Elephas maximus indicus: one gene and its partners. The protein of the gene in region 3 purifies or fractionates together with the protein of the main gene of each other region. This does not show direct contact. Links are inferred from orthologs where the notes say so. Each region holds a gene or a part of one and is shown on either strand. Other genes may lie near its edges.

Region 1 (7,571 bases), on a different chromosome or scaffold from region 3:
GTTAGGTTCTCATTTGACAGTTTCCACACAAGTTGTTCGGTAACGCTGGTTACGTTTACCACAATGTGTCAACATTCTCTTTGTGTTCAGTTTGTTCCCTTTCCAGTACTCTAGTTTCCCTGCCCCTTTATCTTCTCATCCTCGCTCTTGAGTAACTGTTGGCTCTTTGGTCAAATAGTGATGGTTTTTAATTAGAGCACCGATCTTACAGGTAATATCCTTTATTCTGTGTGCCATTTTACTATTTCGTGCTCAGCTGTAGGTTTAAAGAGCATCTCGGGGCAATAGTCTCAGAGGGTCTTCTGTTTTTACTGTTCCAGTTTGTGTGTGTATGTGTTTTTAATAAGAATTTGAGTTCTGCTCCATACTTTTCTCCCATTCTCTCCGGGACCAACGACTTTGACCCCGGTCAGAACGGTCACTGGTGGTGGCCACGCACCATCTAGTTCTTCCGGTCTCAGGTTAGATGAGGTTGTGGCTCATGTTGACTTGTTTCTTCTCTATGCTTTTGGTTACCTGCTTACTGTTTTACTCCTGGCCAACAGAGACCCTAAGCTATGTCTTAGATAGCTGCTTGCAAGCTTTTAAGACCCCAGACAGTACCCACTTCGTTAGGACGCAGGTCACGGTTTTTGTGAACTATGTTATACCAATTGACTGAGTTGTCCCATGAGACTATGGTTCTATGCCTTCAAATCCAGAACACCAGTCTTGGAAGGTATGCGGTCATGTCTGAGGAGTAACCATATTAGTGTCTTCGGTAAACGTGTCTGCACCCACATATTTGTATTTACACTTACCTACAGATAGTGGTCACTACGAGTCAGAATCCACTCGACGGCAACGGGTATAGATACCTCTATCTGCTCTCATTTATGTACACACCTGTACCTACCCGTATACGAATTTCCCTATATCCATTCATGCGTGCTCAAACGCTTTTTTTCCCCAGGGTTGTACTGTGCTCACTACATCCGCATTCAGTGCCACTATTCCTGTTACCAAAAATAACTAGTCTCTACAGTATAAAGTGTACTTTCCCCACTCCCCTCTTCTCCCTGGTAACCACTAACGAACACTGGTCTCTCTGTATTTATCTACTCTTATCTTATAAAAGAGGAGTCATACAATATTTGTCCTTATATGCTTGACTTATTTCACTTAGCATTATTCCCTCCAGGTCCATTTGTGTGATAGTATATTTCTCTGACTCATCGTTGCTCTTTATGACTGCGTAGTATTCCACTGATGTGTGTGATCACAATTTGCTTATCCATTCACCCATTGACGGGCACTTCGGTTGTTTCCATTTATTTGCTATTGTGAATAAAGCAATGATGAACATAGGTGCACATGTCTGTTCATGTTCTATATGGGTTTTTACCTACTTTATGGGGACCCCGCCTCCCTGGGGGCTGCGACCTTGGCTATTTTGTTTATCTTAGCTCCAGAAAACCAAACCGTTGCCATCAAATTGATTCTGTCTCATAGCAACCCCATATGTTGCAGAGTAAATCTGCACTCTTAGGGTTTTCACTGGCGGTGAGCTTTCGGAAGCAGATCACCAGGGCCTTATTTTTGAGGTGCCTCTGGGTGGGTTTGAACTGCCGACCTTTCAGTTAGTAGCCGATCACTTAACCATTTGCACCACCCAGGGACATCCCTGGCTCCACAGGGCTCCAATTACATTGTATGCACTCAATATTTGATAGAAGGAGCAAGTTAACTGGGTTTAGGTCGAGGCCTACTGAACACTTAAATTAAGGCAGACTAGAGGCCATGCCCATTTTTCACATTCAAAAACCAAAGCCCATACTAACTTACTGGCAATTTACTTCCAACAAATCAGCCACTGAAAACTCTACGGAGCACAGTTCTACTCTGACACACACAGGGTCACTATGAATCGGAAACAACTCAATGACAACTAGTTCTTTGGTTTAGGAGACAAGAGGAGTCCCTGGGCGGTACAGTTAATGCGCTCAGAAATCTGGAGTTTCACATCCACCCAGAGGTGCGTTGGAGGAAAGGCCTGGCGATCTACTGCTGAAAAATCAGCCACTGAAAATCCTATGGAGCACAGGTCTACTCTGACACACACGGGTCCCCATGACTCAGGACTGACTTGACAGCAATGGGTTATACTTTCTAGAAGCTCATTATTTACTGTAAAGGAAAGGTAATATTTAAACCACCCAAGGTGACCAAAAACTCAAAGTCGTTGCTTTCGAGTTGATTCTTGACTCATAGCTAGTGACCCTAAAGAATAAAACTGCCCTATAGGGTTTCTGGTTTTTTTTTTTTTTTTTATAGGATTTCTGAACGTCGACTCCACACACGTCAGAAACAGTTTAAACATGACCCACGGTTAAATATCTGGCGCTGTTATCTGTCAATACTTTTTCATCCACAGCCTGCTTTAAAAATCCAGTCTGAGGCTCTCTGCAGGCTGGCTTCCTGTGCCCACCACCCTTCACCGGGGACGAGGTCTTTATTTTGTCCCCACGACCACCTGAGCCGTAAACATCCGGAGCCCCGCCGCTTCGCAGCCGCAGACACCGGGCGCCCTCGGGACACCTGGCGGCCCGAGCGCAAGGCCTGGCTCCGCCGCGCTCGGGCCGCCGGGTCAAGGTCCACGGCCCGGGCTGCGCGGCTAGCGGACGTGGCCTCCCGCCGAGCGGCGGCCTTCCCAGTGGGGCGGGGCGCGCCGCCCGTCCCCGCCGTGACCTTGAGCCCGCCGGCGGGAGGGCGCCCCGACTCAGCCGCGCAGCCCGGCCGGCCTTGCCCCCCGGGCGCCAGGACGCCGCCTTCGCCCGCGCCTGCCGCGGCCCCTCCCCGCCGCCCCGGGAAAGGGGCGCTGCTCACCGGAGCGCGGACAGGAGGCCGCAGGGGCCGGGCCGCTGCAGCAGACTCCCGGCCGAGGACGCTCCGCGGGTCCGCAGCACTCGCGCCGCCATCTTGCTCGGGCGCTGGGTTACCGCCGCCGTGACGCCGCCGGAGCCGCTGGCGTGACCCCTCCCCCGGCCGGCCGCACGCTGCAGTGCGGGGCGGGCGCTGCAGTGCGGGGCGCCGCCGCCAGGGGGAGCAGCGCGGCCGACGGGGCGTGGCCAGGGCCGGGGGCGTGGCCGGGGCGGGGACCGAGGGGAGGCACTGGGTGTCGGCCGAAGAGACTTGGAAGCGGGAGACAGTCGGCAAAGCTGGGCGCTCAGAGCACGGTGTGCAAAGGAACACGGACCTGCTTGAATGTGCGTGCAAGGATTCACAAGGAGAGTCGCGCTGTTGCCCAGGGGAGCCCAGAGTCTAGGGGGCACATGTGGGAGGGGACTTCTCCCCAGTACCTTCTGAATTCTGTTAAGACCATTTGCCTTGAGAGCCTGACTTATGGCGACCCCATGAGTAGAACGGTGCTCCATAGGGTTTTCAATGGCAGATTTTTTGGAAGTAGACTGGTAGGCCTTTCTTCCCAGGTGCTTCTGAAGGGGCTGGAACCTCTAACCTTTCAGGAAGCAGCCAAGGGCATTAACCGTTTGCATCCGGGGACTCCTTAAATTTTGCACCATGTGAATATATTAAAATAAAATACCAAATCATTGCCAGATTCCAACTGATAGTGACCGTATGGGGGATACTATAGAGTAGAACTGCCTCGGGATTTCCAAGGCTGTGATCTTTCCCCCTCCCTCACAGAGCAGTGGGTGGCTTCGAGCCGCAGACCCACAGCCTTACAGTTAGCAGCCAAGCACTTAACCATTGTGCCACCAGGACTCCTTGTGAGTATATTACCTTTTCTAACAACAAAAAAAAAGAGAACACTTTAATAAAAGCATTTTGGGTGGAAACACTCAAATTCTCTCCCAGTCTCTTGATTATTCACTCCTGTTCATTTAGGCACTGAAGGGTGCTGGTCATGTGGAGTCCCCGTTTGTACCCTCAAGCAGCCCCCCTATGGTGGGGACATGATGTGAACTGGTGATCGGATGGAAGTGTCAGTATTCAAATGCAGTGGTTCACAAGACTCGAAGGAAAAGGCTGTGTAACTGAGGATAGCTGGGAAGGGGAGGGTAGACCAGGAAAAAGTCCCCAGAGGAGCTGGCCCCACAGCTCAGTCCTCTTGGAAAGAGTTGACCAATGGTAGAAAGGAGGACATTCCTGACAGAGGGAACAACTTAAACAAAGGAGAGGGCCAGCCCAGATGAGTGTTCAGGGAAAATATTTCCTGAGTAAAGATAAAGAGCCACAGATGAACCGTGAAAAACTGCAACCAAGACAAGATGGGCAGGAAGGAAGCCAGACACTGAGAGGAGGGGACAAGGCAGAGGACCAGGGCTGCAGCCTGCAGGGGAGCATTTCAAGAAGGCAGTGGTCTGCCAGTTCCAAGCTCCAGAGGCTGAGAGGAAAATGCCCTCAGTGTTGCTGGAAACTCCAGGTCCTGTTTGGCGCACCTGTCACAGCCAATAAACGAGGCCAAGGTGGGAGATCAGAAAGGCAGCTCTATTTCCTTGAGCAAGGAAGAGTCAGGGTTGGTGCCTCCAAGGCTGTTGGCAAGAATAAGGTTTAGGAAGGTCACTTTTATAGAGCTTACAAGCAGGGAGATCACTTGAATTACATCGACATTCTAAACCATGCTAGGCAGTTGCAGTAAGGGTCAAATGCAACTTCACGGGATGTGTTTAGAAAACGGCAGTTGAACTCCTCCTAGGGGTTACTATGTGTGAGGCACTTAATGAGCCAAGGTTAACTTTAGGCCTCTTGAACTAGTTTAAACCGGGTCTCGCTGGCTTACTCGTCCAGCCTGAAAGAGGAAACAAGCTCTGGGGTGTAATCTCTCGCTCATGGCCACACTTAAGAGGCACTAAACCGAAAAAACCCAAACCCAGTGCTGCAGTCGATTCCGACTCAGAGCGACCCTATAGGACAGAGTAGAACCACCCCATAGAGTTTCCAAGGAGCGCCTGGCGGATTTGAACTGCCGACCCTTTGGTAAGCAGCCGTAGCACTTAACCACTAGGCCACCAGGGTTTCCTAAGAGGCACCAGGCAGTAACAAAGGCTGCTGCCTTGTCAGGATTGGGCAACTTGGGAGGCCTCCGCTACCTAGGCACCAGAGCTGGGGGGGGCGGGGACGGACAAGATTTGTGGACTGGGAGGCTCCAAAACTGGGAATCTTGGGAGTGAAAGGTGCACTGGGCAGGAGAGATGCAGCTGTCTGGCTAGGGCAGCATCTGAACACATCGGTGTGGTAAGGAACCCCTGGGTGGTATCAGCAGCTCTCTTAGATGCTTCGCTCTTGCTCATCCCCCCTGGTGTCAAGCCCTGAGAGAGCTCTGGAACATTATCTACCCATCCTCTCACCATATTCCCCGCCCAGTGTAGCTCAGGTCTGAGGGCCACAGCCTTCCAACAGGTCTCATCTCCCCACCTCTAATCCTTCCCCTTCCAGTCCACTGATGCTATCACTGTTATTGAAATGCAGTATCATTTTCTCTTTAAATAATCTACAATGACATAAAATGTAACTCCTATTTCATTTTTTTTTTTTTTTATTTCTCTACCGGAGCTCCACCCCCAGCAATCCTTCCTACTTTCAGTCCCCTTTCACACTTTGGGGACTTTACACTCCCTTTCCTCTGGCTGGAGTGCCCTTTCCACACACCCCCCACCCACCACCTGCCAGCCTGGAGACTCTTCCTCTCAGACTGAGTTTGAGCACTCTCTCACCTCTCCTGGGAAGGACCCATGTGCTCCTGCTGGCCATGACGGCAGGCTGCATATGTCCTCCATGAGACTGTGAGTCCTGAGAGGGCGGCCTGCCTGCAGTCATCGTTGAACAATACTCATGTTGGCTGAAGCTCAGATAGGATCCAAATCTCTTTTTAGAAACCACAAACTGAATTATATAGCTCAATTTTTCTTTGGTTTAAGTCTAAGCTATCACAGTTCATTAACCAACAGCAACAAACTCAAACTCTCCAACTCAGATGCGTGTGTGAAAACTCCTACGACTTTGGCAATGTCTTGGATTTTAAGAACTCAGCCTATTTAAACTGGAGTCCTTGGGTGATGCAAACGGTTAATTCGCTTAGCTGCTAACTGAAAGGATGGCCGTTTGAGTCCACACAGGCACCCTGGAAGAAAGACCTGGCAATCTATTTCCAAAAAATCTGCCATTGAAACCCCGTGGAGCACAGTTCTACTCTGAAACACATGGGGTTGCCATGAGTCCGAACTGACAGCCACTGTTACTGGTTTTAATTAAACTAGCCTAGAACCTAGGATGTAAGAAAAGTGACACAAAATTTTATAAAAATTTTCTACATGTTGACATTTTTTATTAATACAGCTTAATCTGATAAAATCTGACCACAAGCATGCTATTTTCCTCAGAATTGGTGAAATCAGAAAAAAAAAAATTAATTTTAAATATATACCACCAAAAGCAAATACTTAATGTGGTCTTACTGGTTTACATCAAAAGTTTTTCTTTTCCTAAAATAAAGGCTCTAAGACAAGTCCAGGTTTCTTTAGAATGAAAAAACAATACCCCTTCGAAAACAATGAGCTTACAGAATGACACGGTGGATTGCTAGGTTTAACATGAAAGTATGGTCACTGAGAAGAAAATAAAGCCTTTAGGAAAATAAACCTTTATGAAAAATTACAACAAGCTTTTACTTCAGTTGCTTTTATGAATTTCATAAATACCAGTAGGGAAATTGGACAAAGTTTGTGACAAAACTTTGAAAAGTTTCTTTTTCCACAAAGCAAACTTGTAACTCCCTCCCTGTGGCGCCTTCTTCTCCTCTGCCTTTACTGTGCTGAGGGGATGGTGAGTTCTTTCAGACCTTCGGTCAGGTGAGTGGGCTCCGAACCGACTGGACTCTCCAGGTAGGTCGTTCCTGCACAGGGTTTTCCCGTCACTGGATCTATGACTCTCCCAACCTTGAAAACGATCTCGGCCAGCTCATGTTTCACATGCTTGGAGCGTGGGGCAGGCAAGGCTTTGAGAAGCACGATATCCCCCACTGTGCACTGCTGAAGTGCATCATGAGCAAAGTAGGTCTTTCGCTTATTAAAATACTAGTGAGAGAAGAAGAGAAAAAAATCAGCAGCTCCCAGCTGTGACCTGGCAATGCAGGACAGAACGTGAAGGCGCGATGCAGACAATGCAAGATGGGACTTGGGGAGAGAAAATACGACACTTAGCTGCTGCTTCATCTTTGGTAAAGAGCATCGACTTTTCCTGAGCTCTCAGCCCACCCCCAGCAAGAGCCTTGTTCTATCAATAATCATCTCTGCCTAAAATGTTTAAACCTACCCTTCCCACTGGAGCCTTCTCTCCTGCCTATAAACATGATCCTCTCACACCATGAGATGTACAATTTGAGACAAGTCACTGAACCAATCTGAGCTCAGTTTTTTTCAATCATGAGATGAGGCTCTTACCCCTGAACCTCTAGAGTTATCAAGAGAATTCAATATTCTAATGTACGTAAAGTACTTAGCCATGTGCTTGGCTCAAAGTACTGAAAAGAAGTCGTAATTGCTAACTAGCATCACCTATTCCTCACAACA
Region 2 (7,442 bases), on a different chromosome or scaffold from region 3:
AAATATGTGTTGTAAATCCCAACCCCTACTCCTTGGAAGCTCTATGGGGCAGTTCTACTCCTTCCTATAGGGTCGCTATGAGTTGGAATCAACTCAACGGCACTGGGTTTTATACTTGTGGTGGAGCCCTGGTGGTACAGTGGTTAAGTGCTTGGCTGCTAACCAAAAGGTTGGTGGTTCAAATCCATGAGCTGCTCCACAGAAGAAAGATGTGGCAGTCTGCCTCTGTAAAGGTTAGTCTAAGAAACCCAATGGGGCAGTTCTACTCTGTCCTACAGGGTCGCTACCACAGGAGAAAGATGTGGCAATCTGCTTCTGTAAAGACTACAGTCTAAGAAACCAATGGGACAGTTCTGCTCTGTCCTATAGGGTCGCTACGTGTCAGAATTCAACTCTGAGGCAATGGGTTTATGGCACAGAGAAACAAGCAAGGATAGAGGAAGACAGATACCAAGGAACCAAGAAGCAGAAGCTGAAAAGAGACGAGGACCTCCACTAGAGCCAGCGCCCTGAATTCGAATTTCTAGCCTCCTCAACTGTGAGACTACAGCCTTGAGTATGCGCTACACCTCAATATAAAGAAAACAAAAATCCTCACAACTTAACCAATAAGCAATATCATGATAAACGGAGAAAAGAGTGAAGTTGTCAAGGATTTCATTTTACTTGGATCCAGAATCAATGCCCATGGAAGCAGCAGTCAAGAAATCAAACATGCTGCATTGGGCAAATCTGCTGCAAAAGACCTCTTTAAAATGTTGAAAACCAAAGATGTCACTTTAAGGACTAAGGACCCAAGCCATGGTGTTTTCAATCACCTCATACGCATGCGAAAGCTAGACAATGAATACAGAAGACGCAAGAAGAATGTGATACCTTGAATTACGGTGCTGGTGAATAATATTGAATATACCGTGGACTGCCAGAAACAAGAGGAAGACACTCAACAAGATGGACTGACACAGTGGCTGTAACAATGGGCTCAAACATAACAACAATTTTAAGGATTGTGCAGGACCAGAGGACTGTGTTTAGTTCTGCTGTACATAGGGTTGCTATGAATTGGAACCAACTCAATGACACCTAACAACAACAACAAATTGTGAGAAAATTAATTCGTTTGTTAAACCCACTCATTCGTGGTATTTTTGTTATAGCAGCACTAGATAACTAAGACAGCCACTGAAAAGAATAAGGAATAGGCTTCAGTTCTGAAACTGAACTCCTTTTGAGCCCAATCCCCACCCCTCATTTGACCATATCACCTTTGGCAGTTACTCAAACAGCCTAAGCTTTTATTTCTTCATTTAGACACTGAGGAAAGTAATACCTGACCAACCTGCTTCACTGGCTTACAGTAAGGCTTCAGGAGGTAACACAGAAAAGCGCTTTACAAACTGTAAAGCCCTAGATAACCGTGAGACTTATCAAACGTTGGACTTCTCCAGTTCCTACAGTCTCAATGCTTAGCTAACTACTCTTTCAATCCCACCAAAAATCCTGCCTCCCCTACAAAACCTTGATTGCTCAACCATCATTTATATTCCTTTCCTTCCAATGGTAGCACCAAGGGCTCTATGACATAATTGGCCTGGCACAGTTCTCTATTACTTTCTGTGTTCCATCTTCTGAACTATACTAAGCATCCAGGGGGGAAAGACCATTACTTATAGATCCACATCACCAGTACAGCTGCTGGAGAATATAAAACACATTCAGTAAATACTTGCTTACTACTTACTACACTCAAAAGTACACAATCAACTTCACTGAATGAATACTAATAGCTCCTTAACACAATTTAACGTGGGTTGTATACACGTACTCAAATGTGAACTTAGTAATTACGCAAATAAGTGTAAATTTAATAATGTTATGACTGTCTCTGACCTGCGAATTCACATTTCAAACAAGATGATCATACCCATTCATCAACACAATCCCTCAGTCATCCCTTCCACCTCCAGAGTCTGTCTTTGTAGTTTTGGGGCGTGTAGATTTCTGTTGACGTAAATTTGTCTTTCCTCCCGTCTGACCTAACATCTGCATCGTTTTCATTCTCTGACAAGCAGCGCCTAGCACTTGAAGAATTATGCACTGTGGGGTGAAGAAGATCCTCAACAACCAGTTTACTACTTCTGTCACGTAAGTATATCGTGTGTAAAACTGGGCTGCTTGAGAGCTGGTCACAGCTCCCACAGAAGAATAACCTGATACCCGATCAGCGTTTCAGATTACTTTCACAGCCATTATCTCATCTGGTCACCATCACAATCTTGCGAGACAGGTCTACAGAATCACCAGATGAGAAAATTGAGGCTGGGAGAAGTATTCCACAACTTAAGGGGGGCGGAGCCAGAAACGCAGCTTGGACTGCAAGGGAAGTCAGGGAGCAGGTTGCCCGCAGGAATGAAGCTCCCGGGACCTCTTTGGCCTCAGTGACCGGCTACTGGGCAGACGATCGGGTGGACACGAGTTGGGAACCTGCCCGCTCCGCTGTTACCTGCAGCACCAAGGCCTGGGCCGCCCCCGGCGGAAAGCCCATGCGGTCAGAAGGGTGGCGCAACAGGCGGTAGAAGTCGGTCTTGCGGTAGAGGAAACCGAAAAGCACGCGCAGAAAGTCCTGGACGTTGCCCACATGCTGCAAGATGCCCAGCAGGGCCTGGTCGTACAACTCGGCTGACCCGGGCTCCATGTCCTCTGGCCGGCCCAGGAGGAAAGCTCACGCACTGCTGAAGGATGGAGCAACCCGGACCAGCAAGCCACTTCCGGCGTGCTGCAGCTAACGGCTCCGCTGGCCAGCACAGCCGCGAACTTCCAGTCCGCTCTCGTTTCCCCTAGCCCTGCGGCCCTAGAGACGCGTTTTGGCTGCCGATCCGGGAACACCGTCCTTATTGCCCCTGCCTGGCTTTCCCGCCAGCCGGCCGTCGCTGCAAGAGCCAGAGGTAGAAACCAAAGTGGCTCCTAAGCGGAAGGCGCCCCGCGGTTGCCGTACTGAAGACATCTAGGGACCATGATTGAAACGGGCGGAAGGATTGCGGCTGCGGGCACTGGCACGTGTACAGGAGCGTCACTTGATCTACTGGTTTTTGTCACGTGGCCTGTGGGACGCTTGATAGTTTCTGGGCTGAATTCCCGGCTAGGTGTGCTGAGCTTAAGAAGCCCTGGTAGTGCGGTGGTTAGGCGCTCCACCGTTTACTGAGCCAGCCACTCTGCGGGAGAAATATGTGGAAATCTGCTTCCATAAAGATTACAGCGTTAAAAGACATATGGGACAGTTACACTCTGCCCTATAGGGTCACTATGCCTCAGAATTCCTTCCACTGTAACAGGTTTGGTTTCGGTTTTTATCAGGAACTCAGTGGCTAAAAAAGCTGGCGTCGCTTTGAGTTTTTTCAGTAAGTCAGGTAAGGAGAAATGCGTGTATGTGGAGTATATGAATTTCCTATTAGTAACAGCTGTGAGTGAAATTAAAGGCGTTGCATCGGAGGAAATTCAAGGTGACTCAAATAAGAGGAGAAAAGAAATGTAAAATGAGTGCATGCATAAGAGCTAGGTGCAGAATAAAATCCGTTGCTGTGGAGTGGATTCGGACTCACAGCGACCCTATAGGACGGAGTAGAACCGTCCAGGTGCAGAACAGAGGATCTAATAACCCGATGTTGTGAGATTTTTGTGATATGTGTGACGTGTCATAAGTGTGTCAAAGTATACTTTTCATACACACAGCAAACACATGTCAATGATCTTATTCAACAGATTAATGAGGGAACCATTTAAATGCTGAAGCTAGTTCAAAGCGCATTTTGAGAAACTAGGTATTTATAGACATTTTGAGAGAAAAAAAATACTAGAGTAAGATTGCTAGGTTACATACAAAGCTGCTTTGTGTTCTACAAGATAATTAAGCCATAGATTATATTTTCTACTGGGTAGAAATTATTTGCATCTCTAGTGTACTAAAATCACGAGTTAACATATACCTTCACAGTGTATGAGCTCTAACCAATTGTAGACAACAAAGCCGACCTCACATAAATTGTTCAACAGCAGTGGTGCTGAAACTTTTGGGATTACGTTCTCAAAATGTATTGAGCTTTTGTTTATGTAGGTTATACCTATCGATATTTACCATATTATAAGTTAAGACTGAGAAATTTTTAAGTACTCATTTTTAAATAACTAATAAACACATAAGTTGACATGTTCATGGAAAACAATTACACTTTTCAAAGCAGTAAAAAAGCTTGGTGAGAAGACTGACACAGTCCTACATTTTTGAAAATCTCTTTAATGTCTGGTTTAAAAAAAGACATCAGGATTCTTGCATCTCCTTCTGCATCTGCTGTATTTGCCATATGTTGTTTTGGTTGCAGTATATATAGAAAGCTCAGTCTCACAAAGATAGGAGTTGGAAATGGGAGAAGTATTTTAATTGTCTTTCCAAATAAATGGATATTCTTTGTTAAAACTGTACCAAAACTCTTCTTTGAAACAATAACAAAGCTATACCAAAAACTAAAGTTCTTAAAAGTTAGTTGCAATGTGGACTCTGAAACCATATCAATAAACATTTCCTACTCTGCTACATTAATATCTACTGGTTTATCCAGCAGTTTCAGTGGACCTTTTATGTGCATGATTTTGTAACCTCCTGTATTAGTCATTTAAAAAATGTTGGTTTGTCGAGTTGTGCAGCTCTTCCAAATGTTTACATTTCATCATACAATATCAAAGAATCATGTTTGTTAATATTACCACTAATCAGAGAAGGCCTTAATTACTGGGAAGCTGTCAAGTTGATGGAGACATAGCACAGTTTATCACTTGAAAACTTGAATTTTATTATTGGCAAATAATAGTGTCAGTTGTTTTCCTGGAAGTGGCAGACTTACTTCGTTCTTTCTGTCATTCTTTCAAGTAAAAATGGTGTTCCATGAAAGGGGCTACTTCAGCTGGCAACTCAATTACACCAGTGCTTTCTCCCAAATCAACCATTATACTTCAGTATGAATGAAGCTAAGGATTTTATGTGCACTTCTCTTTCATCACATAGAATGTTACAAAGACTTCTTCTGAAGTGTCAAGATTTAATAAAATTCATAACTTTAACACTTCATCAGGGACAGTCTTAAGTGGAACTTTTTTTTTTTTTTTGACTATGGTGTAAGGTAGTGAAGGATGTACTGACTACTAGTTAAGTTAATGCCACTGCCTTGATTTATGCTGTTGTACTTGTAGTTTTACCCACCATTGATTTTGTATCATCAGTGCAAATGTCAACACAGTAAAAATGCAAGTAACATCCTAATACTATGATTTTGACTTTGGAAGCCCCCAAGGGTACATAGATTACACTTTGAAAACTGCTGCCCAGGAGAATTAAATAATCCTTGGGTAAACATGTTTTGTAATGCCTCAGTATGGCTTTGAAAGGACATGCAGGAAAGGGGAGGGGGAGGACTGGGGAATACAGGTAAGAAGGAGACTTACTTTTGAATTTAATACCATATACATATGCATTACCTGTTCAAAAAGAAAATGAAAAAGGTGAGTAGAAAGTTAAGCATAATCTTATGATCGAGCAGTCATACTCTTTGATATTTACCCAACTGATTCAAAAACCATGTCCACCCAAAAAACCTGCATGTGAATATTCATAGCAGCTTTACTCATAATCACCCAAAACTGGAAGCAACCAACATGTCCTTCAATAGGTGAATGGATCAGTAAACTGTGGTACAGCCATACGATGGAACACATTCGGGATAAAAAAGGAGTGAGCTATCAAGCCACAAAAAGATATGAATTAATCTTAAATGTATATCGCTATAGTAGCCAATCTGAAAACGATACATATGATCCCAATTATATGACATTCAGAAAAAGCAAAACTATAGAGATGTAATAAGATCAGTAGTTGCAGGGGTTGGGAGGAAGAAAGTTTGACTAAGTGAAGCATGAGATTTTTTAGGGTGATGAAGCTATTCTATACAATGCTAATGGTAGATACACGACACTGCATTTTTCAAAACCCATAGAACTTTACAGCCCAAAGAGTGACCCTTACTGTATGCAAATTTAAGAGGTCAAGGGATTCCAGGATAGAATGCAGAATGTGACAAAAGAAGCTGGCTGTATACAAATGTATGAAACAACCTGATTGAAGGAGATAGGGGAAAAGATGCTGACCTAAGTAACTTTGGAAATGAAGCCTGTAAGGCAAAAGTATCTGCACATAAGCACTATAGTCTAGCTGATAAAGTTGTTTCCTATGGGGATTTGGTGTATCAATTCCAAAATCACTATACCTGTACAATGTAATTGAACAGTTGAGTAAATGGATGCTTATGGTTGGAGCCAGGTTTCTTACTACTGGAGTGGGTGGTTACAGATAAGTGAGGGGAGGAGGCCAGAATGATCCACATGGTAATGATTAAAGTTGGAGACATCAGTATAAGCCCATGGTTAGCTTAATATAGATACACATAATTACACAGAGAAACAGTTATAGAAATGTGAGTATACATGGGTCAATAGACACATATTTCCTTGCAATGCCAGCTGAGAAGGCCCAGAAGCAACAATACCTCAGTATCAGTGAACAAACCTAGTACCCGCATATTGATTTCTAATGCTATTCTCCAATAAAAGGAACCAGAGCTCTTTGGAGAAACCTGACAAACACTACCTCAGCCAGGTGATCAAGGTAAACATCAATAGTCATAAATCATATTGATAGGTGTGCCTTTGATAAGATGTGATGATAATAGCATTTTACCTCTGTGGTCTTCCTCCAAAAACCTGTAACTTCAGTCTTTTTAGATGAACATCAGACAAAACTCAATTCAGGTAGCTAAAAAGGAAAGACTAGACTTGCTGGCCTGACAGAGAATGGAGAAGCCCTGAGAGTATGGCCCCTGGACACCCTTTCAGCTCAGTAATGGAAGTCACTTCTGAGATTGAACAGGCCCATAAAACAAAATGAGACTAAAGGGGCACACCAGCCCTGGGGCAAGGACCAGAAGGCAGGAGGGGACAGGAAGGCTGTAATAGAGAACCCAAGTTTGAGAAGGGAGAGTGTTGAAATGTCATGGGGTTATTAACCAATGTCATAAAACAACAGGTGTACTAACTGTTTAATGAGAAACTAGTTCGTTCTGTAAACCTTCATCTGAAGTACAATAAAATAAATAACCCAATTTGGGGACATTCTACAAAATACCTGAACAGTACTTCTCAAAACTGTCAAGGTCATCAAAAACAATGAAACGCTGACAAATGCTCACAACCAAGAGGAGTCTAAGGAGATACGACAACCAAATGCAATGTGGTGTCCTGGATGGGATCCTGGAACAGAAAACAGACATTAGGTAAAAACTAAGGGAATCTAAATAAAGGATGGACACCAGTTAATTATCAATATTAGTTCATTCATTGTG
Region 3 (7,147 bases):
CCATCCTGCTATGCTGGCCTTCAAAGCATTCAGTTTAATCAGGAAACTTCTTTGCTTTTGGTTTAGTCCAGTTGTGCTGACCTCTCCTGTATTGTGTGTTGTCTTTCCCGACACCTAAAATAGTTATCTACTACTTAATTAGTGAAAACCCCTTTCTCTCCCTCCCTCCCCACTCTCATAACCATCAAAGAATATTTTCTTCTCTGTTTAAACTATTTTTTTCTTATAATAATGGTCTCATACAATATTTGTCCTTTTGCAACTAATTTCACTCAGCATAATGCCTTCCAGATTCCTCCATGTTATGAAGTGTTTCACAGATTCATCGTTGTCCTTTATCGATGCATAGTATTCCATTCTGTGAATATACCATAATTTATCCATTCATCCATTGATGGGCACCTTGGTTGCTTCCATCTTTTTGCTATTGTAAACAGTGCTGCAATGAACATGGGTGTGCATATATCTGTTCGTGTAAAGGCTCTTATTTCTCTAGGATGTATTCCAAAGAGTGGGATTGCTGGATAGTATGGTAGTTCTATTTCTAGCTTTTTAAGGAAGCACCAAATAGATTTCCAAAGTGGCTGTACCATTTTGCATTGCCACCAGCAGTGTATAAGTATTCCGGTCTCTCCACAACCTCTCCAACATTTATTATTTTGTATTTTTTGGATTAATGCCAGCCTTGTTGGAGTAAGATGGAATCTCATTGTAGTTTTGATTTGCATTTCTCTAATGGCTAATGATTGCGAGCATTTCCTCATGTATCTGTTAGCTACCTGAATGTCTTCCTTAGTGAAGTGTCTGTCCGTATCTTTTACCCATTTTTTAATAGGGTTATTTGTCTTTTTGTAGTTGAGTTTTGGCAGTATCCTGTAGATTTTAGAGATGAGATGCTGATCAGAAATGTCATAGCTAAAAACTTTTTCCCAGTCTGTAAGTGATCTTATTACTCTTTTGGTGAAGTCTTTGGATGAGCATAGGTATTTGATTTTTAGGAGCTCCCAGTTATCTACTTTTTCTTCTGCATTGTTAGTAATGTTTCGTATACTGTTTATCCAATGTATTAGGCCTCCTAGCATTGTCCCTATTTTTTCTTCCATAATCTTCATCATTTTAGATTTTATATTTAGCTCTTTGATTCATTTTGAGTTTGTTTTTGTGCATGGTGTGAGGTATGGGTCTGGTTTTTTTTTTTTTTTTGCAGATGGATATTCAGTTATGCCAGCACCATTTGTTAAAGAGGCTATCTTTTCCCCATTTAACTGACTTTGGGCCTTTGTCAAATATCAGCTGCTCATATGTGGATGAATTTATGTCTGGATTCTCAATTCTGTTCCATTGGTCTATGTATCTGTTGTACCAGTACCAGGCTGTTTTGACTACTGTGGCAGTATAATAGGTTCTAAACTTAGGTCGAGAGAGGCCTCCCACTTTGTTCTTCTTTTTCAGTATGTATTTTGCATATCTTTACTCTCACTGAAATTGATGATTCTTTCAAGTACTTATCAAGTTATTCTTCCTCTTTTGAGTGCTATTCATGTCCTTCTCATTTAACTACCGCAATCTTAAAATTTTCTTACTTTTGTATGAATTTTTTACATAGGATTATTCACCATTTGCTATCATTTTTGTTGCAAAAATTTCCTCGAGTGTTTTCTTTTTATTTGTTTGGGTTGGCTGCCATCAAACTATTTTGCAACCAAATGAGTTGGTCTTTACCTTTGTGATATCTTCCAATGGTTTGAGGCTTAGAAAGTCTTCCATCATCTGTAATAGCCAGTTTTTCTGCTTTGCATTTCTCTCGTTTCCTTCAGTTTGTATTTACTTAGCACCTGTTGAGTACCAGACCCTGTTCTAGGTGCTGGGAATACAGCTGTGAAGCAGATAAAGTTTACTACCCTCAGGAAACAGAGGATCTCCTCAGAAGCAAGTTCACCCATACTATGGAACCTGCCCGCTTCTATCAGAATTTCCTGTACACCATGACTACAGACGCCGCCTCCTCTTCCCTCCTCTGGAATTTTCCAATGGGTGAACTACTCACCTGATATATGGTGTATTTTGAGATAGTACCTTTAGCTCAGAGATGATTGAGGAGTGTGTTTCCTAACCCCTTGTCCTGGCCAGCCCCGACCCTTATTCCAGGACGTCTTCTCTTCACTCATTCCCACTCTCTCCACCCATTAGCTCCATTTTCCCACATGTGAAGGTGCTATCCTCCAGGCTTTCAGCCTGTAATCTTACCTGTCCTCCTCATCTCAGAGACTAGGCTCTCCTGGGCAGTCTTCCTGTCCTCAGCTCCTTTCACACCTGAGTCCCTGGAGACTGGCTTCTGTCACTCGGAGAAAAGGGCTCCTGAAAAACCACCGAAGTTCTCGTTATTGCAGATCCTGGGTTCTCACCTCCTCTCCATTCTGGATCTGCCCTCATACCTGGCTCTCACTGAGCCTTTGAGATCACCCCCTCCTCTGTCCCCTCTGTGGGTTCCTGATCTCTTGGTGCCCATGGAACACCAATGTGCCTTGTGCTTCTGCTCTCAGCCGATTCTTATTTTCCTCACACTTCCTCTGGCTCCACATGTCATGCCCAGCTGTGGTGCATGATACGCACCTCCAGCCTGACCCTCCAGAGGGGCCCTCATTTGGATGTCCGCAGGCCCCCCACCTTGCCAACGTGAGCTTCATCTTGCCCACACCAAGCCACTCCTGCTCCAGCCTCCCTGTGGTAGGGTGGCTCCACAGTCGCACACCATCCCTCTTGTGCTCACCTCTCACCCATCACTCACCCATACTATGGAACCTGCCCGCTTCCCAGGTTTCCAGCCAGCACCACTCTGTCTTCACTCCCTGCCACCTGAGGCCACAGCCTCTCTGTTGCTTCTCATCCTCCTTTCTCCAGCTCTCCAGGCCAGCCTTTATGGCCCAGGTTGGTATCTGAAATGCAAATCAAACCTTCTCCCTGCCCTGGCTAAAGGCTGCCCTGAGGATCAAGTCCAGCCTCTAAAAGCTGGGTCTGGTCTCCAACTTTTCCTTCAGACTGAGACAATTCTGGTGACCTTCTAACCACCCGCTTTACTGGATCTCACCTCCATGCTTTTACTCACCTCACCCGCCTTCCAGGAATGCTCCCCAAAAATCATCTTTTACACAGCTCAAAGGTCACCTCCTCCAGAAAGCCTTCCAGAATTTTCTCCCTCTGCAGCCCAACCTGCTCCCACTAGGCACCTCTGCTCTCAAGACCCGTCCCCTCTCCCTGCCCTTGTCTGGACCCTGGGTGGCTCTCTCGGCTCAATAAGGTCGACTCTCCTGGGACATCATTCCTTTCATTTATTTTCTCCTCCTACATTCCTCTTCACTTTTACTTATTACTACAAACCATCCCTCCCCCCACAGCTCTCTCCACCCTTCCCAGCCCCTTTCACAACCGCAGTGTAGGACACCTGAACCCCATCTATCAGGAAGTTCTGTGGTGGCTTTTTCCTCTGGACACAGCGATTACAGATGTGCGTGGGAGGATCGGCTCTTCTTGGACCAGAGGCTGACAAAAATGAGTGCCAAGCAGTCCCTAGTGGACGGCTGGAGCCAGGCCTTAAATTTGGGATCGCATTTACTGCAGAATCTCAGTAAACAAGAAAACAAAGACCTGTTCACGCGTGTTTCTCCTGCCTTAGCTCCCAGGGCCGGGCCTTGCCTTATGGACCTCTTTTCCCCAACACCCAGCAGAGGGCGCGCGACAACGCCCGGTCAGGAAAGGCCTGAACGAATGAATGAGTGAGGGCGGGAAGGTCGGAGTGAGGGGATGCTTGAGTGAGAGAAGAGATTTACAAGGCGTGACCCTCGCCACAGGCATTGGTTCATTTCTTCACTTATTCATTCGTTCAGCACCGCCAGGTACCAGGAGCTGTGCCAAGGTGTGGGATGCATCGCGGACCCGGCGATCAAGCGCCCTTTTCCACAGAGGGATCCAGCAGAGCCGCATGCGCGGGAGGGGACGATGCTCGAACAGCTTCTCCAGGGGGAGATCCGGTTCCGCGCCCCTGCGCCCCCGCCCCCCGCGCCTGAGTCGCTTCGCCCCCTGGCCTCCGCCCGCGCGCTCCATAGCGCCTGCGCGGGAGGACCACGTGACGCGCGAGGCCCCGCCCCGCCCCGCCTCCCGCGAGTGCGGCCTCGGCTTGCGGCGGCTCCAGGTGAGCTGCTAGGCACGGATCGGGCGGGCCAGCGGGCCGGGAGGCGGGAAGCGCGGGCTGCGGGCGGTCGGGCAAGCGAGCACCGGCCCCAGGCCAGCGACGCCGGCGGCCTGGGAGCGCGGGAGTGGGCGCGGCTCGAGGCGCGGGGGCGGCGGCCTGAGGTGAGCCCGCGGCCTGACGTGGCGGGGGCGCGGCCGGCTGGACCTCCCGGAGCAGTCGGGGCCGGAGTCGCCGCCCGGTGGAGGGACAGGTTCCCGGTTCTCCGCGCCTGCGGGGGCCGGGGCCGGCCTTGTCGCCTGCGGCGTTCCCAAGCTTGGCCTTCCCGGCCGCGACCCTCCGCCCTGCACGGCCGGGCCTGCAACAGGAGGGCGGCTCAGGTCTGCCGCCACCGCATGACCTTGGCGAGCCTCAGTTTCCTCAGCCGCGCGCCCAGGCCGCCATCAGGGGCGTCGCCGGGGACAGAGTGCGTTCCGGGCGCGGGGGTCCCGAAACTGCAGTCGTGGACCCCAGCCGCGCCAGCTCGCCCCCTTTCATGAGAGAAGTTGGGGGTCGCGCTGTCTGTGTAAAACCTCCGGGTTCCGAAATCCTGGGCGGACCGAACAGACCTGGGCCGGAGCAGCGGGGACTGGCTGCAGGGTCGGCGCTTCTACCTGTTCCAACTATGCTCTCCGCGGAATTCCTTCCAGAACTCTTCCCCAGCTCAGGGAAATAAGACCCACTCCCTCCTCCCCTCTTCTAGAGCTGCCCCCTTTCTCTTTGTTTTGGCCCTTGCTTCATGCTACCAAAAGTCCTGGTTTTGGGGGGGCACTACGGAGGACTTGGTGTCTACTCAGTAAATGGTTGCTGAGTTGGAAATTCTTAAATGCTTTTGACTCGGTCGTCCATTAATTCATCAAAATTCGTTTTACGTTCTCCAGTTCGTACCTGCTTGGGACATAAAATTTACTTCCTGTACCCCCTAAAGCTTTGAGCAGCTCAGAATGGAGGGGCCTTGCTTGTGATGTTTGGAATCTGGGAGATTATGGGGCTGGATTAACCTAGGGAAGGGCTTCAAGACAGAGTTGTTGTTGAGTGCCTTTGAGTGGATTTCAACTCATGGCGAACCCATGTGACAGAGAAGAACTGCCCCATCGGGTTTTTTAGGCTGTGGTCTTTGCTGAAGCAGATACACCGGTCTACTTCAAAGCATTTGGGTGGGTTTCAATCGCTTACTTTTCGAGCGCTTAACCATTGTGTCACCAGTGCTCCTTAGAGTACCACCACCACCCATTGTAGTTGAGTGGATTCTGACAGAGTAGAACTGTCCCATAGGGTTTCCAAGGCCGTAAATCTTTGTGGAAGCACACTGCCACATCTTTCTCCTGAAGAGCAGCTGGTGGGTTCGAACTGCCAACATTTCAGTTAGTAGCCAAGCACTTAACCCCAGCACCACGAGGGCTCCTCAGGATAGAGTAACCCCCTGTAAAATGAATCGGGAGACCAGGGTGCCACTCAGTAAGTGAGCTCCTAAGAGCATTCTTTATTCCAGGATATCAGGCAACACAGAGGACTCACAAAGCTGTGCTGCATTCGCCTTATTATTTTTAAATACTGTCTTTTACAGAAAGGTAGTTACACTCTGAAATGCTGGGGTTTTTGTTTCTTTTTCATCTGTTAGATCAACAGTGATTAAAAAGAAACACTATTGGTGAGCTAGACAGTAGGGAATCAGGTTCTTATACTTTGCTGGTGGGAGAATAAATAGGTCCAACCTCTTAGAGGGTAGGTTGGCAGTATCCATTAAAATTCAAGATCACCGTTTTTCCATAATGACCCAGGAGTTCTGTATCTAGGAAATTTACTTGGATAACTGCTGCATGTGTGATACTGCACTTGTACTATCAAACAGTTGGAGGAAACCCAGATGTCCCTTTGATGTACCTTTTGTACTTTTTGAATTTGAATCGTGAATGTAATCATATTCAAAAATACGTTTCAGAATTTCATTATGAAATATTTCAAACTGACAGAAAAGTATAGAGATTAACCTACCACCTCACGCTATCACATCCTAATTTTTTTTTTCTTTTTAATGGTGGTGAAAATACAAACCAAGACATTGGCCAGTGCATCACCCTCCACATTCACAATTCAGTGACATTGATTACATTCCTCATATTGTGCCAATATCACTCTCCTTTTCCCAAATACTTCACCACCATTACCGAGAATTCAGTGCCCCCCCCAAACAAAAACTTCCTCCTCGCCCCTCCCACGAATAACTTCTGGTTTCTGTACATTACTTCGTATAAGTGAGATCATACAGTGTTTGTCCTTTCGTAACTGAATTATTGCACTCTGTAGTGGTAGTTGCCTCTGGGACAGGATGTGGCTGGGACATGTGTTGAAGGGAAACTTAAGTTTCATAGTGTACTTTTCTGTACCGCATTATTAGCATAATGTTCTCAAGATGTATCCATGTTGTAACACGCACCAGAACATCATTTCGTTTTAGGGCTGCATAATATTCCATTGTATGTACATTCTATATTTTGTTTATCCGTTCATCCGTTGATGAACATTTTGGTTGATACTACATTTTGGCTGTTGGGAAACATGCTGCAGTGGACATTGGTGTACAGATTTCTGTTTATGTTCCTGCCTTTACTTCTTCAGGGTATATACCTAGAACGAGGATTGCTGGGTAATATGCTAGTTCTAGGTTCAACTTTCTGAGGAACTGCCAAACTGTTTTCCACAATGGCTGCATCAGCTTACCTTCCTACCAGTAATGGACGAGGGTTCCATTTTCTCCACAACCTTTCCAACACCTGTTTTCTGTTTTTCTTTTTATTATTGCCATTTTAATGAGGGTGAAATGATATCTCATTGCAGTTTGATTTGCATCTCCCTTGACTGCTAACCAGAAGGTTAGCAGTTGGAACCCACCAGCTGCTCCACGAGAGAAAGTTGTGGGAG
Region 4 (7,821 bases), on a different chromosome or scaffold from region 3:
CCCCAAGGCTTAGAGGTGATAATAGCCCTGAATTGTAAAGTCCAGGATACCACACAATCTGGTTGCTTCCCCACACCCTGACTACATTGTCTAATCCTTTTATTAAACTTCTGAATTATTCTAAATTCAAGGGGGCCATCTGCTTCCCGCTGGGACTCTGACTAAAGGAATTTCAAAACGTTTTTCTAGGTCCAGAAAAAAACATAATTAAGATTATACAATACAAATAATATCAGAATAGCCTAAAGTAAAAGCAAATATATTTTTCATTCTAAAGTAAATGTTTTACTACAAAAAGATAACATATAAATTTCATAATGAAAATCTAAAAAACTTGGCTTTAAAAATGTACTCTACCATGTATAGACCATGTTGGATCCTCATTTGAAAGAACAATTATATAAAACATTTTTAATTGGGAAACACAAAAATGGACTGGTACTAGGTGATTTTAAGGAATTATTATTTATTTTGTTGACTTAATAATGATATCGTGGGTTTTTTTTAAAGCCCTTATCTGTTAAAGATACATAATAATGCTTTTATAGGTGAAATTATATTATGTTTAGGATAATTTTTAAATAGCACACACACACACGCACACAGGTGCAGTGGAGACATGAAACAAAAGAGAAGATTGTGATGAGTACTTAAGGATTCACTAAGCTATTCTGCTTACTTTAGTGTATTTCTGAAAATTTCCATAATAAAAAGTTAAAAAAAAGTACATTATCTTAGTATACCAAAAAAAAAAAACCTGCAAATTACCTAGGAAACCCTATCAGGCAGTTATACTCTGTCATATAGGGTCACTATGAGTTGGAATCGACTAGACAGCACACAACAACCTAAACGTCCAATAACAGAGGACTGGTTAAATACATCATGGTTTACGCACACAGTGATAATTGCAATAAGCAGTATGGGGAGTCCTTAGCCACAAATCTTCCGTTAGTCAACTCCCCAAGTCATTTCCAATAAGCATAAATGTAAGTAAAAATTGTGTGCTATTTATTTAAAACCTGCTACAGAAAAAAAATCACCTCCTCTTCTTCCAACAAGATTGCCACTGTAAGCACCATATTAATTTTCAACCAACCTCTCTGCATACAAACAGAAGAACATGACCTGGTATCAAAAGCTGTTTACAAAATATTAAGCGAAACAGCAGATTACATAGTACGACACACTGCATTTTACTATTAAAAACGTATGTCTATACAATTCAAAAAAGGTTAAAAAAAAAGGTGCAATAAAATGCTAAGGATTGTTATTTCTATTTTCTAGTTTACATTTTCTTCAATAAACACATTCCGCCACCACCACCAGGGTCCACCAGTCGCTACCAACTTATGGCAAACCAGTGTGTGTCAGAGTAGAATTGTGCTCCATACGGTTTCAGTGGCTGATTTTTTTCCAGGCCTTTCTTTTGAGGCACCTCTGGATTAATTTGAACCTCCACCCTTTCAGTTAGCAGGTGAGTACATTAACCACTTCCACCACCCAGGGAATCTGAATAAACATATTGCGTCTACATTATTTTAAAATAAAAATAAATTTTTTAAAAGAATTATGTATTACAGCAGAGATAGGCCATATTGTCAATTAAGGATAAATTTCCAAAACGTAATGAGAGCTTTACTGTTAAAGCGTCATTTATTAGGGTGAACCCTAAATGCCCTAACGCCAGATCATTAATGACAACATTAAAATAACGGTTGCAAACCTCGTGTCGTTATTTGTCAGTCATAGTTGAAATTCTCACTCAAGGGCACCTGGATGGCCTCAACAAATTTGTAAATCAGATTTAGAATTAAATGTCCACATTTAAGTTGTCTGGTTTTCAGATACCCCTTGCTGGTGAACAGGCCCACCAAAGAAATTCTCCCTTTCCTAAATATTCTCTTTCAGCTCGAAGTTTCACTTTTAAGCAACAATGGAAAAGATTTAAAACATCATTCATGTGCCTAGACATTTGAGAAGCTGGCCGCTGCAAAACATGAGTGTTTAACAAATTCAGCACGTCTTTTTACGTAGGCTGAAACCCCATTTCTACTAACAGCTGAAAAGGACAGAAGCAATGTAGAGAAACCCTAATCTCACATAAATGCCAAGTGTGATGCTGTAAATCCCTCAGTGAATTCTGGTGTAAGAAAGAACAACAATCCCACCCCAGGCCAAAAAAAGTGCTTCCATTAGGGATTTCAGGGCCGATTAATTTTAGAAGCAGCAACATTAGCTCCCCAGCCTGTCGTCACTAGATAAGCCCTTCGGGCTTTGAGAATTCCCACTCGTTTCGCATCTCTCTACACAAGACCAAGCTACCAAAAGGCTACACTGAATGCAAAAATAGGTTAGGTTCCTGAGAAACCGGATGAAATATAAAGGAAAAGATCCAGCAAGAGACAAATAAGTCCCCAGGCTCAGGAGCGGTCATTCCCATAAAGGGCCAAAACGGGGTTGAAAATCACCCCACTGCTCTGGCCCTGTGGCAAGCACCTGCCATTCTCATTACTGAGGAACCGGGTCGTGAGGGGAAGGCGTCCCACCGTCTCGCAAGGTCTCCTGGCATAGACTGCTAGCGGCGCCCGCCCGTTCGCCGACAGACAGCGACGTCGTCTAGTCCTGACACTTAGGTCTCCTAGGGGCATCGCCCTCCAGCCTCCATCCCAACCGCTTTCCCGCTGCCCTCAGGATGCTCACTTAAGGAAACCAACGTGCTCTTCTCCATCTACGAGCACTCGGGCCGCCGAGATCCAGTCCTGGGGTTTCACCCCTGGAACAACTGCACGCCCCTCAATCTTGAAGCGGTCTCCTACACCGACCCCACTTCCCCCCGACCCCTCGGCAGCAGCTCCGGGCACCTCCGAGCTCTGGACACCCCCTGATAGCAGCAGTAGAAGGACGGAACAGAAGCCCCACAGAGCGACCGCCATGGCAGCAGCTCTCAGCGGTCGGCAGCCAATTCCGGAAGCCCTTCTCGTTTCCCAGCCGCAGTCTCTGCCGGCCTGATGTCGTCATCACTGCGCGCCCGATTCTGGCCCGAACTGTAGCCTCAAACTAGAGCGAAGGAATCTTCCGCGGTCGACTGGCGAAGCGGAAGTAGCGTCCTGTGCTCCTCCCGCTCGGGGCTGGAAGGCGGTCAGAGGGGCCTGTCAAGCGCTGCTGAAAGGCGCCGCCCACACAGTGGTGAAATGTGCGTTGCTGTGGCAGCCACAGAGGCCAAAGACGTCACAGAAGTTAAGAATGACAAGTCTGAGAGGGGCAAGGATCCAGACCCCGGCTTCGGGAGAAATAGGTCCAGAGAGAGCTTTAAAAACTGCTAGATTCCCCGAGACGTACTAGACGAATAGATGAAAAGCCACGTTGCAGATTAGAATATATAGAATGCCTTATTTGTGGGTGTTTAAAGGAGGTATTGTCTCTGCATAGAAAATTCTGGAAAAATACACAGACTATTAACTAAGGGCGAGAGGAGGACTGAGGAACTTTTAAATATCAGACACTACACCATTCGTACTTTTTGAATACCAGGAGGATAACAACATTAGGGCGTGGGGGTGGGGGCTGCCATTGTTGATCTTGGGGGCTAGAGTCAAGATTTCAGAGATACTCTGTTCCAGTCCTTTCATTTTTTTTAATGATAGAAAAGGAAAGTGTCTTGTCCAAGGTTCCCGTTGATCTTGAATATTCCCCTCCCTGCTGCAAATCCCAATTGAAGATAATTGAGGGCAATGTATATTTTTGCTCTGTGCAATCTTAGCATTAGCCTTCTAGGAAAGGGTATCAAAAATTGAAAGTAGAAAATGCAAGAGCCAAATACTCCAAGCCCCTTGCAGGTGTTGGGGACCTGACGCTAGGGCAACCCCATACTCTGCTCTCGCAGGCAGCAATTGCCCCTTGGGGTACTTTCCCTCATATTCTGAATATGGTTGTTTCTTCACGTTTGCTCTTTGGAAGGAGCAAGTCTGCTCAGAAGAAAAAACAAAATTAGGCTTTTCTGTTTGGCAGATAAACTTTGTAATTGTTGAGGGAACTGGCGATCCAGGTTCAGGAGATGCGCAAGTAGCTGTCTGATTTCTTCATAAAAAAAAATTTTTTTTCGGAGGTTTATTTTTATCTTATTTACTTTAAAGTCTGTTTAATTTTTGGATAGGTAACACATTCACACACGAGAAGGTAAAAGTCAGTTCAGGACTGAAGAAGCAAAAATCAGCACTGTTCATAATCAGTCTTTGATGTACCTAATAGACCCAGGGCAGTGGCAAGGCCATCGGAAAACAATGCTTCTTCCAAGGCTACACCACAGCTGCAAAATTTCTAAGCAAACACAAAACAAACCCAGATACTGTGAAGTCAGATTCTGACTCGTGGTGATCCCATGTGTTGCAGACCCCATGTGTTGCAAAGTAGAACTCCACAGGGTTTTTCCATGGCTTTGAAGCTTTTGGAAGCAGATTTCCAGGCCTTTCTTCTGAGGCACCTCTGGGTTTGAGGCACTTCTGGATGGGTTCGAACTGCCAGCCTTTTGGTTAGTAGTTCAGCACTTAACCCTTTGTGCCACCCAGGGACTCCTAAAATGACAAATCCTTTTCTGTCATTACTACTTTGTTACCTATGACTTCCCCAGCTATGCTTTCTTCCTCTCACCTCCTGAAAAAAGATTTCTGAGAAACCAAATTCAGAGCTGATGCTCGCCTCCCTTATACCTTCCTTAGAGTAATTCAGCAGAAGCCCAAATGCTATAAATCATTCCTCTGCATTTTACTGGTACACCCACAGTTTCTTTGGTGTGCAATCTTCCTTGAAGCAGTAAGCTAAAAAACCTAACGTTGTTTGACTATAGGGTGTTCCTGGTGGTCTTTAACTGATGGACTTTATCACGTGGTACAACATTCAAACAGTACTAAAGAGTATACAGAGAAAAGTCTGTCACTCACTTCTCTCCGCCAGCCACCCAGTTTCTCAAGAGGCAATCACTGTTATCAGTTTCCTGATTATTCACCCAGATATAATCAATAATATACAAGCCAATATATCCATTTACATATATGTAATTGATATATATGGTATGCTGCCAAGTGTGTATAAAAAGGGGACAGGAATATATATATTTAGCATATAATAAAGAAACATATAAACAATATAATACTTTATTATTTTAATATATTATACCATTTAATATATATTATTATATAAATATACTGTATGTTGTTGTTAGGTGGCATCAAGTTGGTTCCGACTCATAGCAACCCTGTGTATAACAGAACGAAACACTGGCCGGTCCTTGCTGTCTTCATAATAGGTATGTTTGAGCCCATCGCTGTAGCCACCGTGTCAGTCCATCTCATTGAGCGTTTTCCTCAATGAGATGACCCTCTACTTTACCAAGCATGTTGCCCTTTTCCAGGGATTCGTCCCTCCTGATAACACACATGTCCAAAATAATCAAAACAAAGTCTCACCATCCTTGCTTCTAAGGAGCATTCTGATTGTACTTCCAAGACCTTTGTTCATTCCTCTGAAAGTCCATGGTATATTCAGCATTCTTGGCCAACACCATAATTCAAATGCATCAATTCTTCTTTGGTCTTCCTTCTTCATTGGCCAGCTTTCACATGCATTTTATGCAAAGGCATTCCACTCTGTGGATCATAGCAAGTTATGGATAATATTGCAAAGAATAAAAATTCCAGAACACTTAACTGTGCTTGTGTGGAACCTATACATAGACCAAGAGGCAGTTGTTTGAACAGAACAAGTGGATACTGTGATTTAAAATTGGAAAAGTTGTGTGCCAAGGTTGTATCCTTTCACCATACTTTTTCAGTCTGTATCACGGCATCAGGATTGGAGGAAGACTCGCTAACAACCTTCGATATCCAGATGATACAACCTTGCTTGCTGAAAGTGCAGAGGACTTGAAGCACTTACTGATGAAGATCAAAGACCACAGCCTTCAGTGTGGATTACACCTCAAAATAAAGAAAACAAAATCCTCACAACTGAACTGATAAGCAATATCGTGATAAACAGAGAAAATACTGAAGTTGTCAAGAATTACTGGGATCAACTGTCAATGCCCAGGGAAGCAGCAATTGAGAAATCAAATGATACATTACATTGGGCAAATCTACCGTAAAAAAAAAAAAAGACCCCTTTAAAATCTTACAAAGCAAAGATGTCACTTTGATGACTAAGGTGTGCCTGACCCAAGCCATGGTAATTTTGGTAAATTTTGTCAAATTGACTTCCACGAAAGTTGTTCCAACTTTCACCCTTACCAGCAGTGTATAAAACCCATTGCTGTCCATTCAATTCCAACTCATGGAGACCCTACATGTTTCAGAGTAGAACTGTGTCCATAGGTTTTCAGTGGCTGTAATCTTATGGAAGTAAATTGCCAGGCCTTTCTCCTAACTCTGTTTGGTAGATTCAAACTGCCGGTTAGTATCAGAGTGCACCAATGATGTATTGGAGTGCCTTATTCCCTCATATTCTCACCAACAAGTGTGTTATCAAACTTTATTTTTGCCAAACGGGTGGGTTAAAAATGATTTCTCGGTTTTAATTTGTATTTTTCTTATTGTAAGTGAGGTGGACCATTGTATCAAATGTTTTAAGAGCTATTTATAGTTCCTTTTCTGTGACTTCCCTGATTTGTGTTCTTTGCCCATTTTCATTTGAATGATTCATCTTTTCTTATTGATTTGGAAGGGCTCTTAAACATTACAGACATTATATCTTTGTGATATGAGTTGTAAATATTTTTTCCTGGTTCATTCTTTGTATTTTGACTTGTGCTCTCCAATTTTCATCCCTCACTGTCTAAACAATGAGTTATAAAGCTATTACAAATAAACAGAAGCTGGGCAAAGGAAGGACAGTCTTCATAGGCGTAGCCCAGAATAAGAAGTGAGTAGTTGGAGGCATTTTAGATCCCACTGGTTTTTGAGTCCCTATAGAGAGAATGGAAACCCTGATGGCATAGTGGTTAAGAGCTATGGCTGCTAACCAAGAGGTTGGCAGTTTGAATCCACCAGGTGCTCCTTGGAAACTCTATGGGGCTGTTCTACTCTGTCCTATAGGGTCGCTATGAGTCGGAATCGACTCAACGGCAATAGGTTTTGTTTTGTTTTAATTGAAAGAGTGTATTTGACCTCTCTTCTCCTGCCTACACCCATATGTAATGACTGACCCACTGGAGAAGGTCTCCCTCCCCATGTTTTAGCCATCCCCTGTCATGTGGTGAATTAGATCTAAGATGTATTGTGGGATTGGTAGAGAACAGCTGAAGAGGAATGAAGCCATGTGCTCAGCCAAAGATATTTTTCATGAAGGATAAAAGCTCTCAAAATGCTGATTTAAAGATGCAAGGCTCTGCCTGTTATGTTCTTTCCGTAGGAAGTGTTGGGCTGATCCCTGAGACAGGCACTTGTTTCAGTCCTAACCAGAGCAGGAGTAAGCATTTTTTAAGCCATAGTAAAAAGGTTATAATGTGCTGCCACCCTCTACACCACCAGTAACTGTCAAAACTATGCTAAGCTATGAAAATACCGCTTTTCTAAAATGATGGAAAATCTACAAGTATGCTGAAATAAAAAAAAAAAATAGCTTCATTCCAAGTTTTCTGATGTTCTTTCATATATCCTTGGTGACTCTGCTTTGCTGATATCTTAGACACATGTTCAGTTTGACTAATAGGTAATCTGTATTGGCTCTTACCCAAGCAGGAGCTGGGAAGTTTACTTTGTATTGGGCAAAGGGTAGAAGAGGACTGGCAGCAAACAGCAACTGAGCTCTCTGTATCTGCATTTCTGC

Evidence for each region.
Region 1: the proteins of KLHL22 (region 3) and NIPSNAP2 purify together in Homo sapiens (co-immunoprecipitation; 3 studies listed by BioGRID and IntAct, counting the BioPlex papers as one, with this or other methods). This does not show direct contact. The link is inferred for Elephas maximus indicus from reciprocal best matches to the Homo sapiens genes KLHL22 and NIPSNAP2.
Region 2: the proteins of KLHL22 (region 3) and NUDCD3 purify together in Homo sapiens (co-immunoprecipitation; 3 studies listed by BioGRID and IntAct, counting the BioPlex papers as one, with this or other methods). This does not show direct contact. The link is inferred for Elephas maximus indicus from reciprocal best matches to the Homo sapiens genes KLHL22 and NUDCD3.
Region 4: the proteins of KLHL22 (region 3) and EMC7 purify together in Homo sapiens (co-immunoprecipitation; 3 studies listed by BioGRID and IntAct, counting the BioPlex papers as one, with this or other methods). This does not show direct contact. The link is inferred for Elephas maximus indicus from reciprocal best matches to the Homo sapiens genes KLHL22 and EMC7.

What each region holds. Positions count from the first base shown.
Region 1 is NC_064830.1:103,039,243-103,046,813, reverse strand, and holds the start of NIPSNAP2 (protein NipSnap homolog 2), read right to left. Parts: upstream 3,020-7,571; 5' UTR 2,958-3,019; coding exon 2,866-2,957; intron 1-2,865. UniProt on the Homo sapiens protein: Protein involved in mitophagy by facilitating recruitment of the autophagy machinery required for clearance of damaged mitochondria.
Region 2 is NC_064826.1:120,658,039-120,665,480, reverse strand, and holds the start of NUDCD3 (nudC domain-containing protein 3), read right to left. Parts: upstream 3,005-7,442; 5' UTR 2,696-3,004; coding exon 2,504-2,695; intron 1-2,503.
Region 3 is NC_064840.1:21,860,602-21,867,748, reverse strand, and holds the start of KLHL22 (kelch-like protein 22), read left to right. Parts: upstream 1-4,145; 5' UTR 4,146-4,189; intron 4,190-7,147. UniProt on the Homo sapiens protein: Substrate-specific adapter of a BCR (BTB-CUL3-RBX1) E3 ubiquitin ligase complex required for chromosome alignment and localization of PLK1 at kinetochores.
Region 4 is NC_064828.1:23,754,166-23,761,986, forward strand, and holds the start of EMC7 (ER membrane protein complex subunit 7), read right to left. Parts: upstream 3,006-7,821; 5' UTR 2,937-3,005; coding exon 2,704-2,936; intron 1-2,703. UniProt on the Homo sapiens protein: Part of the endoplasmic reticulum membrane protein complex (EMC) that enables the energy-independent insertion into endoplasmic reticulum membranes of newly synthesized membrane proteins.